Schizosaccharomyces pombe: one gene and its partners. The gene in region 1 interacts genetically with each later gene. Each region holds a gene or a part of one and is shown in the gene's direction. Other genes may lie near its edges.

What was found.
Region 2: of ura4 (region 1) and ura3, a mutation in one rescues a mutant of the other (synthetic rescue), as found in Schizosaccharomyces pombe (one study listed by BioGRID).
Region 3: of ura4 (region 1) and coq8, a mutation in one rescues a mutant of the other (synthetic rescue), as found in Schizosaccharomyces pombe (one study listed by BioGRID).

Annotation. Positions count from the first base shown.
Region 1 is NC_003421.2:114,988-118,625, reverse strand, and holds ura4 (orotidine 5'-phosphate decarboxylase Ura4), read left to right. Parts: upstream 1-2,000; 5' UTR 2,001-2,050; coding exon 2,051-2,845; 3' UTR 2,846-3,037; downstream 3,038-3,638. Other genes in the region: thioredoxin-related chaperone Pmp20, read left to right, coding at 1-203; protein new25, read left to right, coding at 779-1,048; protein tam14, read right to left, coding at 3,370-3,443, 3,510-3,638.
Region 2 is NC_003424.3:1,384,746-1,388,759, reverse strand, and holds ura3 (mitochondrial dihydroorotate dehydrogenase Ura3), read left to right. Parts: upstream 1-1,614; 5' UTR 1,615-1,918; coding exon 1,919-3,250; 3' UTR 3,251-3,403; downstream 3,404-4,014. Other genes in the region: ATP-dependent DNA replication ligase Cdc17, read right to left, coding at 1-123, 186-693, 734-816; disulfide relay system thiol oxidase subunit Mia40, read left to right, coding at 3,674-3,968. UniProt on the Schizosaccharomyces pombe protein: In the de novo pyrimidine biosynthesis pathway, catalyzes the stereospecific oxidation of (S)-dihydroorotate to orotate with reduction of flavin and the transfer of electrons to ubiquinone, which is part of the respiratory chain.
Region 3 is NC_003423.3:2,999,174-3,003,887, forward strand, and holds coq8 (ABC1 kinase family ubiquinone biosynthesis ATPase Coq8), read left to right. Parts: upstream 1-2,000; 5' UTR 2,001-2,187; coding exon 2,188-4,020; 3' UTR 4,021-4,103; downstream 4,104-4,714. Other genes in the region: SHREC complex intermodule linker subunit Clr1, read left to right, coding at 1-1,781; ribosome biogenesis protein Alb1, read right to left, coding at 4,213-4,364, 4,445-4,496, 4,551-4,664. UniProt on the Schizosaccharomyces pombe protein: Atypical kinase involved in the biosynthesis of coenzyme Q, also named ubiquinone, an essential lipid-soluble electron transporter for aerobic cellular respiration.

The DNA of each region.
Region 1 (3,638 bases):
GTGTTCACTTTGTCGCCGACTGGAACGGAGAGTTTACCAAGGCCTTTGATGCTGGCTTCGACGCTAGCGGTCTTTTGGGCCCTCTTCGCTCCAAGCGTTATGCCGCTGTTGTCGAGAATGGCAAGGTTGTCAAGGTTTTCATTGAGAACGAGGTCACCGATGTTGATATTTCCTCCGCTGACAAGGTCCTTAGCTCTCTTTAAATCTGATGAACTGTTGTACTAATTGTTTTGATGGGAATGTTTTTTTCCTTTAATGAACGAAACTTAGAATCAAAAAGATAAGCTCCTTATTTAAGGGCGTTTGAAATGATGGAGATAAAGCACTCCATATTTGAGTTTTTTTTGTCATTGTGATGATATATGTTTAGATTTATGAAATTTTATACACAATTATCTTAACAACTCATTGTTTGAGTACTAGTACAATTCTTTATAAGAAAGTAGATATGCTTAAAAAATTAATGTCAAGTAAAACGTTGAATCGATTACAATAAGTTTTCGTAACACGATTGAAAATCGGTAGAAGTTGAAATGGATATTCTAAGTGGTGGTATCAAAATAATGACTAGAAAGATGTAAGCACACCTTCAATGTATCATAATCAATGTCAGATGAATTTGGGTAATGAAAAACGTTGGCCACAGTTGGGGGCGTCTTCCTCTAGATGCTCGTCTTCTACAACCGTTCTTTACCTCAACCTTTAAATTTTCAAAATCTCCTTTTTAATAACAGTTTTCATTTTTGGGTTCTTTTTACTCATTTGTATTTCATCTTCGATGAAAATAGCTAATGTCTTAACTTTATCGTTTGCTGCAATTATTGCTGCTTCTTCCCTGGCGGTTGTAGTTAGTCCTATCACAGACAATTCCAGGGAGACAGCTTCATCCTCCATTTCTCAAAGTCCTCCTAGTCAATGGTCAAAAAAACAGTTAATTGAGTATTGTAAAAAAAATTCACTTAAAACTAGCGGATCTCATGAAGAATTGGTTATCCGTGTGCAAAATCATCTTCGTACCGCCTCTAAAAAAGTTGATGCCAGACCGTAATGACAAAACAGCTTGTATAGATTTTAATATGTTTTCGATGCTTACATAATGAGTGAGTGTCATTATTGAGGAATGCCATGTCAGATTTGACACAACTCAGAACTTATTAACTTTTTATGATTGGAACTTTTGTTTTGCCCAAGGAATTTTTAATGGAAGAAGTTGTTTTATAAATGATATTGAATTTATATCCACTCTTTTTAGCGCATTTGCATCTCTACTTTAGGTTCTTCTTTGACTAGATTCTAGGATGCGTATTGGATATACTGGTCTTTGAATCATTGTCGAAAAAAAAATTCATGGTTGTACCCATGAGCAAACTGCTTTTGTGGTTATCCATGTGCTTCTTTTGTTCAGCATCTATCTTCTTAATCGCATGGAAGATTTGATTTAAACCAAAAGAAATATTGTTAAACTTTGACAGAAGCTTTAAATTTTGATTCCATACATTAAATGGATAAAACTCCTGAAGCTTAGCTACAAATCCCACTGGCTATATGTATGCATTTGTGTTAAAAAAGTTTGTATAGATTATTTAATCTACTCAGCATTCTTTCTCTAAATAGGAATTTGTTACTTAATGGAGAAAAAAATGTTTCGATTTACCTAGTGTATTTGTTTGTATACTCACGTTTAATTTCAAACATCCATTCTATCTTGTGTAATTTTTGGCATGGTGAAAAAGATAATCAGCCTTATAATCTTTACAAAAGTAAGAAATTCTGTAAATAAGCCTTAATGCCCTTGCTTTAAATTAAAATGGTTCTTTTTCATGATAATGTTTGCACTTTGTGAATATATTTTAGATAGTTCTGTGAGGTATAATTAAGATGTTTTAGAGACTTATACAATTTTGTCTTTATAAATTCTTAATTGATTTTACCATCCCAGTTTAACTATGCTTCGTCGGCATCTCTGCACATGTCGTGTTTTCTTACCGTATTGTCCTACCAAGAACCTCTTTTTTGCTTGGATCGAAATTAAAGGTTTAAAAGCAAAGTTATGGATGCTAGAGTATTTCAAAGCTATTCAGCTAGAGCTGAGGGGATGAAAAATCCCATTGCCAAGGAATTGTTGGCTTTGATGGAAGAAAAGCAAAGCAACTTGTCAGTCGCGGTCGATTTGACGAAGAAATCCGAAATCTTAGAATTGGTAGATAAAATTGGACCCTATGTCTGTGTTATCAAGACACATATTGACGTTGTCGAGGATTTCGACCAGGATATGGTAGAAAAACTGGTGGCCTTAGGTAAAAAGCATCGTTTTCTTATCTTTGAGGATCGCAAATTCGCAGACATTGGAAATACCGTCAAGCTACAATATGCATCTGGTGTGTACAAAATTGCTTCTTGGGCTCATATCACAAATTGCCATACAGTGCCAGGCGAGGGTATTATACAAGGCCTCAAAGAAGTTGGTTTACCTTTGGGACGTGGTCTCTTGCTTTTGGCTGAAATGTCTTCCAAAGGCTCTTTGGCTACTGGTTCCTACACAGAGAAAACCTTAGAATGGTTTGAGAAGCATACCGATTTTTGCTTTGGCTTTATAGCTGGTCGTCGATTTCCTAACCTTCAAAGCGACTACATAACTATGTCCCCTGGTATCGGCTTGGATGTTAAAGGAGACGGGCTGGGACAGCAATATCGTACTCCTGAAGAAGTGATTGTAAACTGCGGTAGCGATATCATCATTGTTGGTCGTGGAGTCTATGGAGCTGGTCGTAATCCTGTTGTCGAAGCCAAGAGATATAGAGAAGCTGGTTGGAAGGCATATCAGCAAAGACTTTCTCAGCATTAAAAAAAGACTAATGTAAAATTTTTTTGGTTGGTTATTGAAAAAGTCGATGCCTTGTTTGCGTTTGTTTTCCTAGGCGTTTTATGTCAGAAGGCATTTAGAATTAGTATACAAGTACTCTTTGGTAAAATTTTATGTAGCGACTAAAATATTAACTATTATAGATAAACACCTTGGGAATAAAAAGTAATTTGCTATAGTAATTTATTAAACATGCTCCTACAACATTACCACAATCTTTTCTCTTGGATTGACATTGAATAAGAAAAGAGTGAATTTTTTTAGACTTGTAATGATAACTATGTACAAAGCCAATGAAAGATGTATGTAGATGAATGTAAAATACCATGTAGACAAACAAGATAAAACTTGGTTATAAACATTGGTGTTGGAACAGAATAAATTAGATGTCAAAAAGTTTCGTCAATATCACAAGCTTTATTATTCAAAACTAGTATACTTTTTCTCGGAGTATAATACACAATATCGGTGCAAATAGGTTTTAAAATTGCTCCAATCACATGTTCTTAAGAAAAAAACGTCAAAAGAAATCTAAGTATTCCCAAAATAATTCCTCCTGACATGAGAAGAATAAAAAACACTAAGATGCATTGTCAGTATGAAACACAAGCCAAAGTTGCTAACAATAGGATCAATTCTTACTTACTGGCAATGTTACGAGGAATCTTGGTAGGAGGATGTTTGGCAACATAACGTTCTTTTGAATTTGTTTTTACACGACGAGTAATGTTCTTCTGAAACTGTGTGTTTGCACGACGCTGAGAGGGAGTTTGAA
Region 2 (4,014 bases), on another chromosome or scaffold:
ATCACCAACTTTGTGAAACGATAGTTTAATCTGTTGAAGCGTTTGCCCTGTAGACTCTCCAATAGCCTTCATTATAATGCTTTCGCCAATTCCTAGCTCTAGTCCCGAGTAATCTGGGCCCAACTAATGTAAAAAAAGACGTTAGTACTGAGAAGGAGAAATCCTTTAAAACCAAACGTTCATACCTTATTGATACTTAAATACACACAGGCCAGTAAATCGCTGGGATGGTCGCGAAGAATTCCAAAAAAGTAAGTCCCCATTATATCAATGATTTCCAACCGTTTGCTAGTATTCTCTATTTTTGTGAATGCTTTTACCATTTCAGCAAATGTTGCATGACCTTTTAACTTATCATTGCGAGCATTGGACTCTAACGGTGGTTCTTTGATTGGCAAAGGTATTGGAGTAGATGCCCCAGAATCGTTGTTACTAGATACGGCATCTGAAGAAGAGGAGGATGAACCTAAAGTCTTTTGCTTTTTTGCCTCAGACACAATATTATTTTCACGCTCAACATTTTGAGTTCCAGTGTCGTCGTGGTTGTTGTGTTTCGACTCGTCGACTAATTTCACTGATTCGACCTTTCTCTTTTCGCTTGTGCTTCTCCCATCAACATTTTTGGAATCAGAAGACGATTGAGAAACCTCCACGTGCTCGCTTTTGTGCGAAGCAGAAGAAATGAAGAAGTTGCTATATGGGTTAGTCAACGTCTGTCTTCTATCTAACAAACCTAATGTCTGACTGCCTTGTCGACATCCGTATGTACTGATTGACTTGTTTAAAACGAGGAATTTGCGAAAATACTGTTCGCATAACAATCAAGTCAACGAGTAAAGAATTTCATAAGATTTGACAATAGTGAGGGTACACCTGAAGAACAAGTAACACGTGTACGATATTTGTAGTTTAAGGACAGTGAAAACGAAACCATTTTTTTCTAAGTCTATATAGATGAAATTAATTTTTATGATTATAACAGGATAATATAAAAGCTATTTATCATTGATATAGTATGAGTGTTCCTTGTCTCATTCATAAATACTATTGACTTAATCAACTCTCTCCCAACGCTCTGTACATCATAAATACAGCTAGAAAAAATGAGAAGTTGAATTGTATAGAAATGCTTTAGTCATACCAGAAATGAACAATTGCCTGTATCAACGAACGTAATAGAAACAATTTGGAAATACATTGCTAGAAGTTTATCAACTAGATTCTAACCATTTAAAAAAAAAAGAAATTTAAATCAACAAAAATTAAAATAAATTCCTAATAGGCTTATTCGCTAATGTGTAGTGGTTTGTAGTTTTTTTGCAAAAAGCTGTTCGCACTTGTTTTTCAAGTGGATTTTGTCCTTAAATTTTTAAAATTTTTCTTTTTCAAATTTTTTATGAAATGTTAATTCGAAAGCAAAAACTATCATAAAATTGTTTATAACCATCGCTTTATTTACAAAACTCATAGTCAAATTTCGACAGCCCGGCATTACTAAAAAAACATGTTACCTGTTACAGGTAACATTCAATATAAACATTCAATTTTTGATTTTTGTTCTTTCTCAGAGAATATACCTCTGCTAGCACTTGGAGAAATTTTTTCGGTTCTGAAATCTTTGTTTTCGTTGAAATCTTATTAGAACCAAGTTCTCCATTTTATATAAATTAACACTTCTTGTCTCTAGGTGGATAAAGAAACGGATTGACGATTCTGTTCTGATCCTTAAATCCATATTTTTATTTTTTGGTTCTGTTTATTTTTTCTTGGGTTTGTTGTGTTTGGAAAAAAACTGGTGTTTAAATATATTAAGCATAAACTATTATAAAACTTCATTTTATTATTTTATCATTCATATTTTTTTCAATTTCGTTTTGAAAATTTTTTATTTAAGCCGAATTCTATTAAAAATACTAAAATGTATCAACGATCTTTGTTTCGCGGTGTCGCTCAGGGTTTAAAGCGCTCCTCTGTACGTTTTCAATCTACCAGCTCTGGCTCTTCAAATGGCAATTTCTTTCTCCGTCATTGGAAGCTTTTGAGTGTTATTGGTAGTTTTACTGCCGGCGTTGCCATTTACGACATGTCCGATGTTCGTAGTTTTATCCATGGCCGCATTGAAATGCCTCTCTTTCATGCTTTCACCACTCCTGAGTTTTCTCATCGTGTCGCCATTCTCGCTGCCTCTTGGGGTATAACACCGAAGGATCGTGTAGCTGATGATCCATCTCTTGCCGTTGAAGTTTGGGGTAAGAAATTTTGCAATCCCATTGGTCTAGCTGCTGGTTTCGATAAACAAGCCGATGCTATCTCAGGTTTGTTGAACTTCGGGTTTTCCTATCTTGAAATTGGCTCGGTCACACCTAAACCTCAACCTGGTAATCCTAAACCACGCTATTTCCGCCTTAAGCCTGATTTGTCTGTAATCAATCGTTACGGTTTTAATTCTATCGGCCATGATGCCATCCTTGCTAAGATTCAAAAGCGCGTTCGCAAATACATTGCTAAGACATCTCCTCAACTATTAAAACAGTTTGATGCAAATCCCGCTTCTTGCACTGATCCCGCTGTCCTTGGCGTACCTCGTAGTTTAATTCCTAACAAGTTCCTTGGTATCAATTTAGGCAAGAATAAGAACGGTAACGAGATTGAGGATTATGTTGAAGGTGTTCGTACCTTTGGTAACTTCGCTGACATTCTTGTCATTAACGTTTCCTCTCCTAATACCCCTGGTCTTCGTAACCTACAAAAGAAATCTGCCCTCTCAACTTTATTGACTGCTGTTGTCAGTGAGCGCAATAAATTGAACTCTCCTCATCCTCCCGTACTTGTAAAAATTGCACCTGATTTGAACGAAGAAGAACTCACGGACATTGCCGATGTCCTCAAAAAGTGCAAGATTGACGGTGTGATCGTTGGTAATACTACCGTTCAACGCCCTAAGACCCTCAAATCAACTAGCCATGTTGAAGAGACGGGTGGTCTTTCTGGACCTCCTCTCAAACCTATCGCATTAAATACTCTTCGCACACTTCGTAAGCATCTTTCTTCCGATATTCCCATCATCGGCTGTGGTGGTATTTCTTCTGGCAAAGATGCTATTGAGTATGCTCGTGCTGGTGCAACTATGGTTCAAGTTTATACTGCTTTGGGATATGATGGTCCTGTAATTGCTCACAAGATTAAGCAAGAGATTCTTGCCGAGCTTAAGGGCAAACGTTGGGTTGACATAATTGGCAAGGAAGAATAGATTGGGATGTCAGTATATTTCTTTTAAAGAAAAAATTCAGTGTCGTTTACTGGTACATTATTATAGTAAAAATTTAACATATTATAGAAAATAATACTCACGTTCTTCTAATTAAATATTATAAATGAATTACCTTTTGTTTTGCATACCTAAGTTTGCTTGTGAAACTATTATGTCGCTAGTTTAATTCTATTATGAAATTAGTCATTCAGGCATTTCTTAGTAATCTCGTAAATCCTGCCAGTCTTGCTTGTCTTACATTTGTGAATACCTATTTACTTAAATCTGATTTAAAAAACATGCAAACTTATATAAACTTAGAATGAATGACAAAGTTACGTTCTTGTAAGATCGTCGCCGCTTTCTGACCATTACGCAGACATTAGAAGTTCAGAGCTCAACTTCCCATAAATCAAAAAAACCATGTTTGCTAAAAACTTACTTTTCAGATTTCCAAAATGTATAAGGATTAACGGTTACAATAATATGAGAAGGTCTCTACTGCAGAGAAATGGATTTCAAGCAGGCATTTGTCGAAAATTTGGTACTGCAACCAAAACTGATGTATGGAAAGGCCGTTTTTTGCCTATTGTATCTGGCGTTGCAGCTGCTTCTTTGACTGCTGGATATTTACTTGGAAAAAACACTTCAAATGCATCATCGAGTCAAGATAATGACCATCCTGTTGTAGGCGAACATGTCCATACGGAAACACAATGTAAGTATCATATGTTTGAAATGGCTATCTTTTTCTGTACGATTAT
Region 3 (4,714 bases), on another chromosome or scaffold:
AAATAGAAAATTCGAATGAAAAAGAATTATTGACTAGCACATTTTTAAGTCCTTCTGCAGAATCTCAGGTTTGTCTTGCAGAAATAAAAACCATACGTCCGGGATTGGTTCCTAAAAAGCAGTTTTCTGTGGATCAAAATAATGTAATAAGTGACAATACGGACTGTTCGCTTCCTAAACCATCTAACTCTAAGCTCTCCAGTATTAGTAGCGATGGGGATGCTTCTAGCAATCGAATGGCTGTACCCGATAAGTCTCCTTTTGTTCATGCTGCACCAAATTCTAAAGCATTGACGAAGGATAGTTTTTCTACTCACATTAGCGTTTCATCTCTTCTTCATAGTGACAACGAGATTTCTCCTATCGATTCAACTCGTAAAGATTACTTTACTTCAAAGGACAGCAATCTTCAGACTCTTAAAGAAGATGCGTCTTCAACAAAACAGGCTAAAGATTCTGGTACTAATGATTTTGACAAACTGATATCTGGCAATGATGTATCTAAAAACAATTCTGGCGAAGAACAAAGCAGAAGCGCATTGAAGCCACTAATTTCTGGGAAACTATCAAGTTGTGAGTCGATCAACTTAACCAAGGATATTTCAACTGTTAAGCGCAAAGAGTATTTTGGAATTGAATCGACGTCCTCAAAACAACCTTTCCATGATACTGGTTCAATTAAAATCCCAGCAAAAAGATCTTTTGATACCATTGATAAAGATTTTAGAAGTTCTAATATTCCATTTGCCGACAAAATTAAAGAGGACGGTGGAGATAAAAATGTGATTTCCTCAATTCATATTACAACTGAGCTTCCTAAATCAATGCCCGTTGAAGTACCTACTAATGCTGGTGCTCAAAGCGATCAAAGCAATGTCGTTGACTCCGAGTCTTTGAATTTGCGTGAGAATATTTCTACGAGCGTTGCTGACGTGAGCCTTAGTCAAGCAGGGAACGAAGCAGTGCTTAGTAAAAAGGCTTGTAAACCGCTTGTGTTAATTGACCCCTTTGAGGAGAAAGTACTTAAAGCCTTTAACATGTTGAGTAAAGGTTATGCTGAATACCGTTGTCAATGGGAGGGTTGTTTAGCCAATCTTCATTCGTTGGAAAATTTTATAAAACACGTTTTATTGTTACATCATCCGAAAAGTTGTTCTGTGGTTAAATGCCTATGGGCTTCGTGTGATATGGTTTTGCCATCAGAAGAGTTTGAAATGCATTTGCGCGGCCATTTGAACAACATCCGGCTTAATTGTGAAGTTTCTAACTGTAAAAAGTGCTTTTCTAATTATGAAGATATGTTCAAACATTTGCAGCATTCACATTTACCTTTCAAGTTCACACCAGAGTCTTTCATTAAAATTCGAAATGGCAATGTCAAAGAAGAAGCACGTCGTACAAGAAATGCTTACACACAGAAGTCTGGTGAAGTAGAATGTTTTATGGAAACTTGTACACCGATAGCTAAACCTGCTCCTGCGAATTGGTATCCGGTTCCTCCACCTGGTTTTAACTCATCTTTACTTTCCAGACTAACCCAAAGCAATCAGTCTAAAGATAAAATTATAGCTGCTTTAGCTAAGAGGAATGTTTATAAATCATTTGCGGGTTTGTACGATAGTAAAGGTAAAAATGATAATACTGGGTACGATTTTGATTCAAATTATGCCCGGGTTGGTCGTCATGGTTCTTTTATTTTACCTGTCAGCAAAAGTGTCCCTACTCCATCCTTGCTAATCGAAGGGTCTATTGTGCAACGTAAAAATATAAAAATAGAATGATCCGTCTTTGTACGTTACAAGCGTGATCTCAACAATTATTTTCTTAATTATGGTTTAATCCAACTGGCGTGAATCTCTCTGAACAAACATCTTATGTCTTTTATTTATATAGTTATTGTATGTAAAGTAAATATAAAAAATTATTGATTGTCCTTAATTTACTGTACACGCGTCCCTTCAAGTACATACATATGGTTCGATTGCTTAACTGAAGTAACCGCCGCTAGGAACCATCATAAACTTTTATCATTTTTGGATTCATAAAACCATTATAACAGTGGCTAGTTAATGAAAATAATCAAATGTCTGGTTTTTGAAATAAATAAATTCACTTGAAAGCCCTTCCATTCGAAATTGAAGCACTTTTTATTCCAAGGCTTATTTTTCTCTTATTTAATCAGAACAAATGGCTAATTCAGGGCTTTGGGAACTTATAACAATAGGATCCGCAGTTCGAAATGTTGCCAAATCATATTTAAAGGCTGAAGCTTCGTCAATTACAGCAAAACAACTGTATGATGCATCGAAAATAACCAGTTCGAAAAGGTCCACAAGTGACCTGCACGTTCAATTATTGGAGAAATACAGAAACGGTAAAGTCAAACATGCTTCCCAAATAAAAGAATTGGGGTTATCTTCTAAAGATACGAAACGAACGCTTTTGGGAAATTCTTTAGATGTTCAGAAAGATGCCTCCGGTGTCAAACATTTGCAGGAGCAATCTTCTAAAGAAATAAAAAATCCTATTTCGCAACCGATTTTACCAAATAAAAAAGATGAAATAAGTCCTGCTAAACCTTCAGCGATTGATTCTAGTATTAAAGACGTAACAAAATCACACCCTGCAACGAATGCCAATTTTACAGCAGACTTTGAATCCTCTATTGAAGAAAGCTACTCTACTGAGAATAAGTCTCCGGTTATACTTTCCTCTTCTAAAGTTCCTTCGTCCCAATGGAGTCGTCTATGGCATTACGGAGGCCTTGCAACTTCCTTGTCGGTTGGGGCTATAGGGGAGAAAATGAAGAGGATGTGGGGAATCAGCAAAGACGATGGAGCTTTGTTACTGAATGAAAGAAATGTAGAGATTTTGGTGAACAAACTGACTCAAATGCGTGGTGCTGCTTTAAAAATGGGTCAAATGCTTTCATTCCAGGATAGTAAGCTGATTGACCCACGTGTTTCTCAAATTTTGGAGCGTGTACGTGATGGAGCACATTCCATGCCAGAAAAGCAACTAGAGCAAGTTATGGTTAAAAACCTTGGAAAGAATTGGATGACTCACTATTCAGAATTTGACAGAAAGCCAATGGCGGCAGCTTCAATTGGACAAGTTCATCGAGCTCGTTTAGCATCTAATCACATGGAAGTTGTGGTGAAAGTTCAATATCCTGGGGTGATGTCTTCCATTGACTCGGATTTGAATAACCTAGCTTATTTGTTGAAAGCTTCTAGAATACTTCCTAAAGGATTGTTTTTAGAAAACAGTTTAGCAGCCGCAAGGAAAGAACTGAAATGGGAATGCGATTATGAAAGAGAGGCCGCTTTTGCTGAAAGGTTTGGATCGTTGCTCAAAAATGATTCTGATTTTAAAGTCCCAATGGTATTTCGAGAAGCATCTGGACCCAGCGTAATTACATTAGAGTACTTACATGGTATTGCTTTGGGAAAACAAAAATATTCACAAGCTACAAGGAACCATATAGGATATCTGCTGACGAAACAATGTCTAAGAGAGATATCTGAATACCATTTTATGCAAACCGACCCTAATTGGTCTAACTTCTTATATAACGGAAAAACAAAAAAAATTGAATTACTAGATTTTGGAGCATCAATTGAATATGATGAAAAGTTCATCAAGAAATATTGCCGACTTTTACTAGCGGCGGCTCATCGTAACCGAGAAAAGTGCAAAAAATTATCTGTTGAACTAGGATACTTAAATAATCATGAGTCTGCTCAAATGATAGATGCGCATATAAATTCAATTTTCACTCTTGCGGAGCCATTTGCATTTGATGCACCTGACGTCTACGACTTTGGCGATCAAACGATCACTGCGAGGGTTAAGCAGCAGATTCCTGTTATGCTTGATTTAAGACTTCAACCTCCTCCAGAAGAAACTTATTCATTACACCGTAGACTAAGCGGGCATTTCCTTTTGTGTGCCAAGCTTGGCGCCAAGGTGAGATGTAAGGAATTGTTTTCTGGAATGTTGAAACATTACGCTGATTAAATGTTTTTATATGAAAAAGCCATAGTACCATAGCAACTTGATGACTTAATACAATGATACAAATTTTTTTTTTCCAAAATAGATAACACATTGGTTGAAACCCTATATGTGTGGACCGTATATTTAAAACATATTGTATTAATATTATTATCAATCAACCCTAAAGACCCATAAAGCTTAATAAAAATAAGCTTATAATGCTGGAGGAGCACCCAAAATTGTTCCTTTACATGTTGGCTCAATGTTCATGAAATCCTTTTGTTTCCCGGCTTCGGTTTTTCCAAATAGATTTTCATTCAAAGACTTATCTTTGGAAATGTTTTTCTTGCTGGCATTATCAATCTCTATGTCCGTTTGTTAGATACATAATTGACGGTGGAAATGAAGCTTTCCTGTAAAACACACTATTAAAAAAATTTCTTACCCATTGCAATATCATCTAAATGGATCCCCTTTTCAGCAAGACGTTTCAGCGACTAAATTATTGGTTAGGTATTTCTTTAAAATGCTTAAAGGTGATTTAATCTTACATATTTTCCATTCCTTAATTGCTTCTTTATGGTTTTTTTACTCGCAACACGGCCATGAATAATGGCATTAGGAGCCTTTGAAGCAGACTTTCTTCTATCGTTTCTATGGGGCATTGTAAAAGTTGAATTCAACTTTCGTATATTTTTTGTATTAGTATACTGCA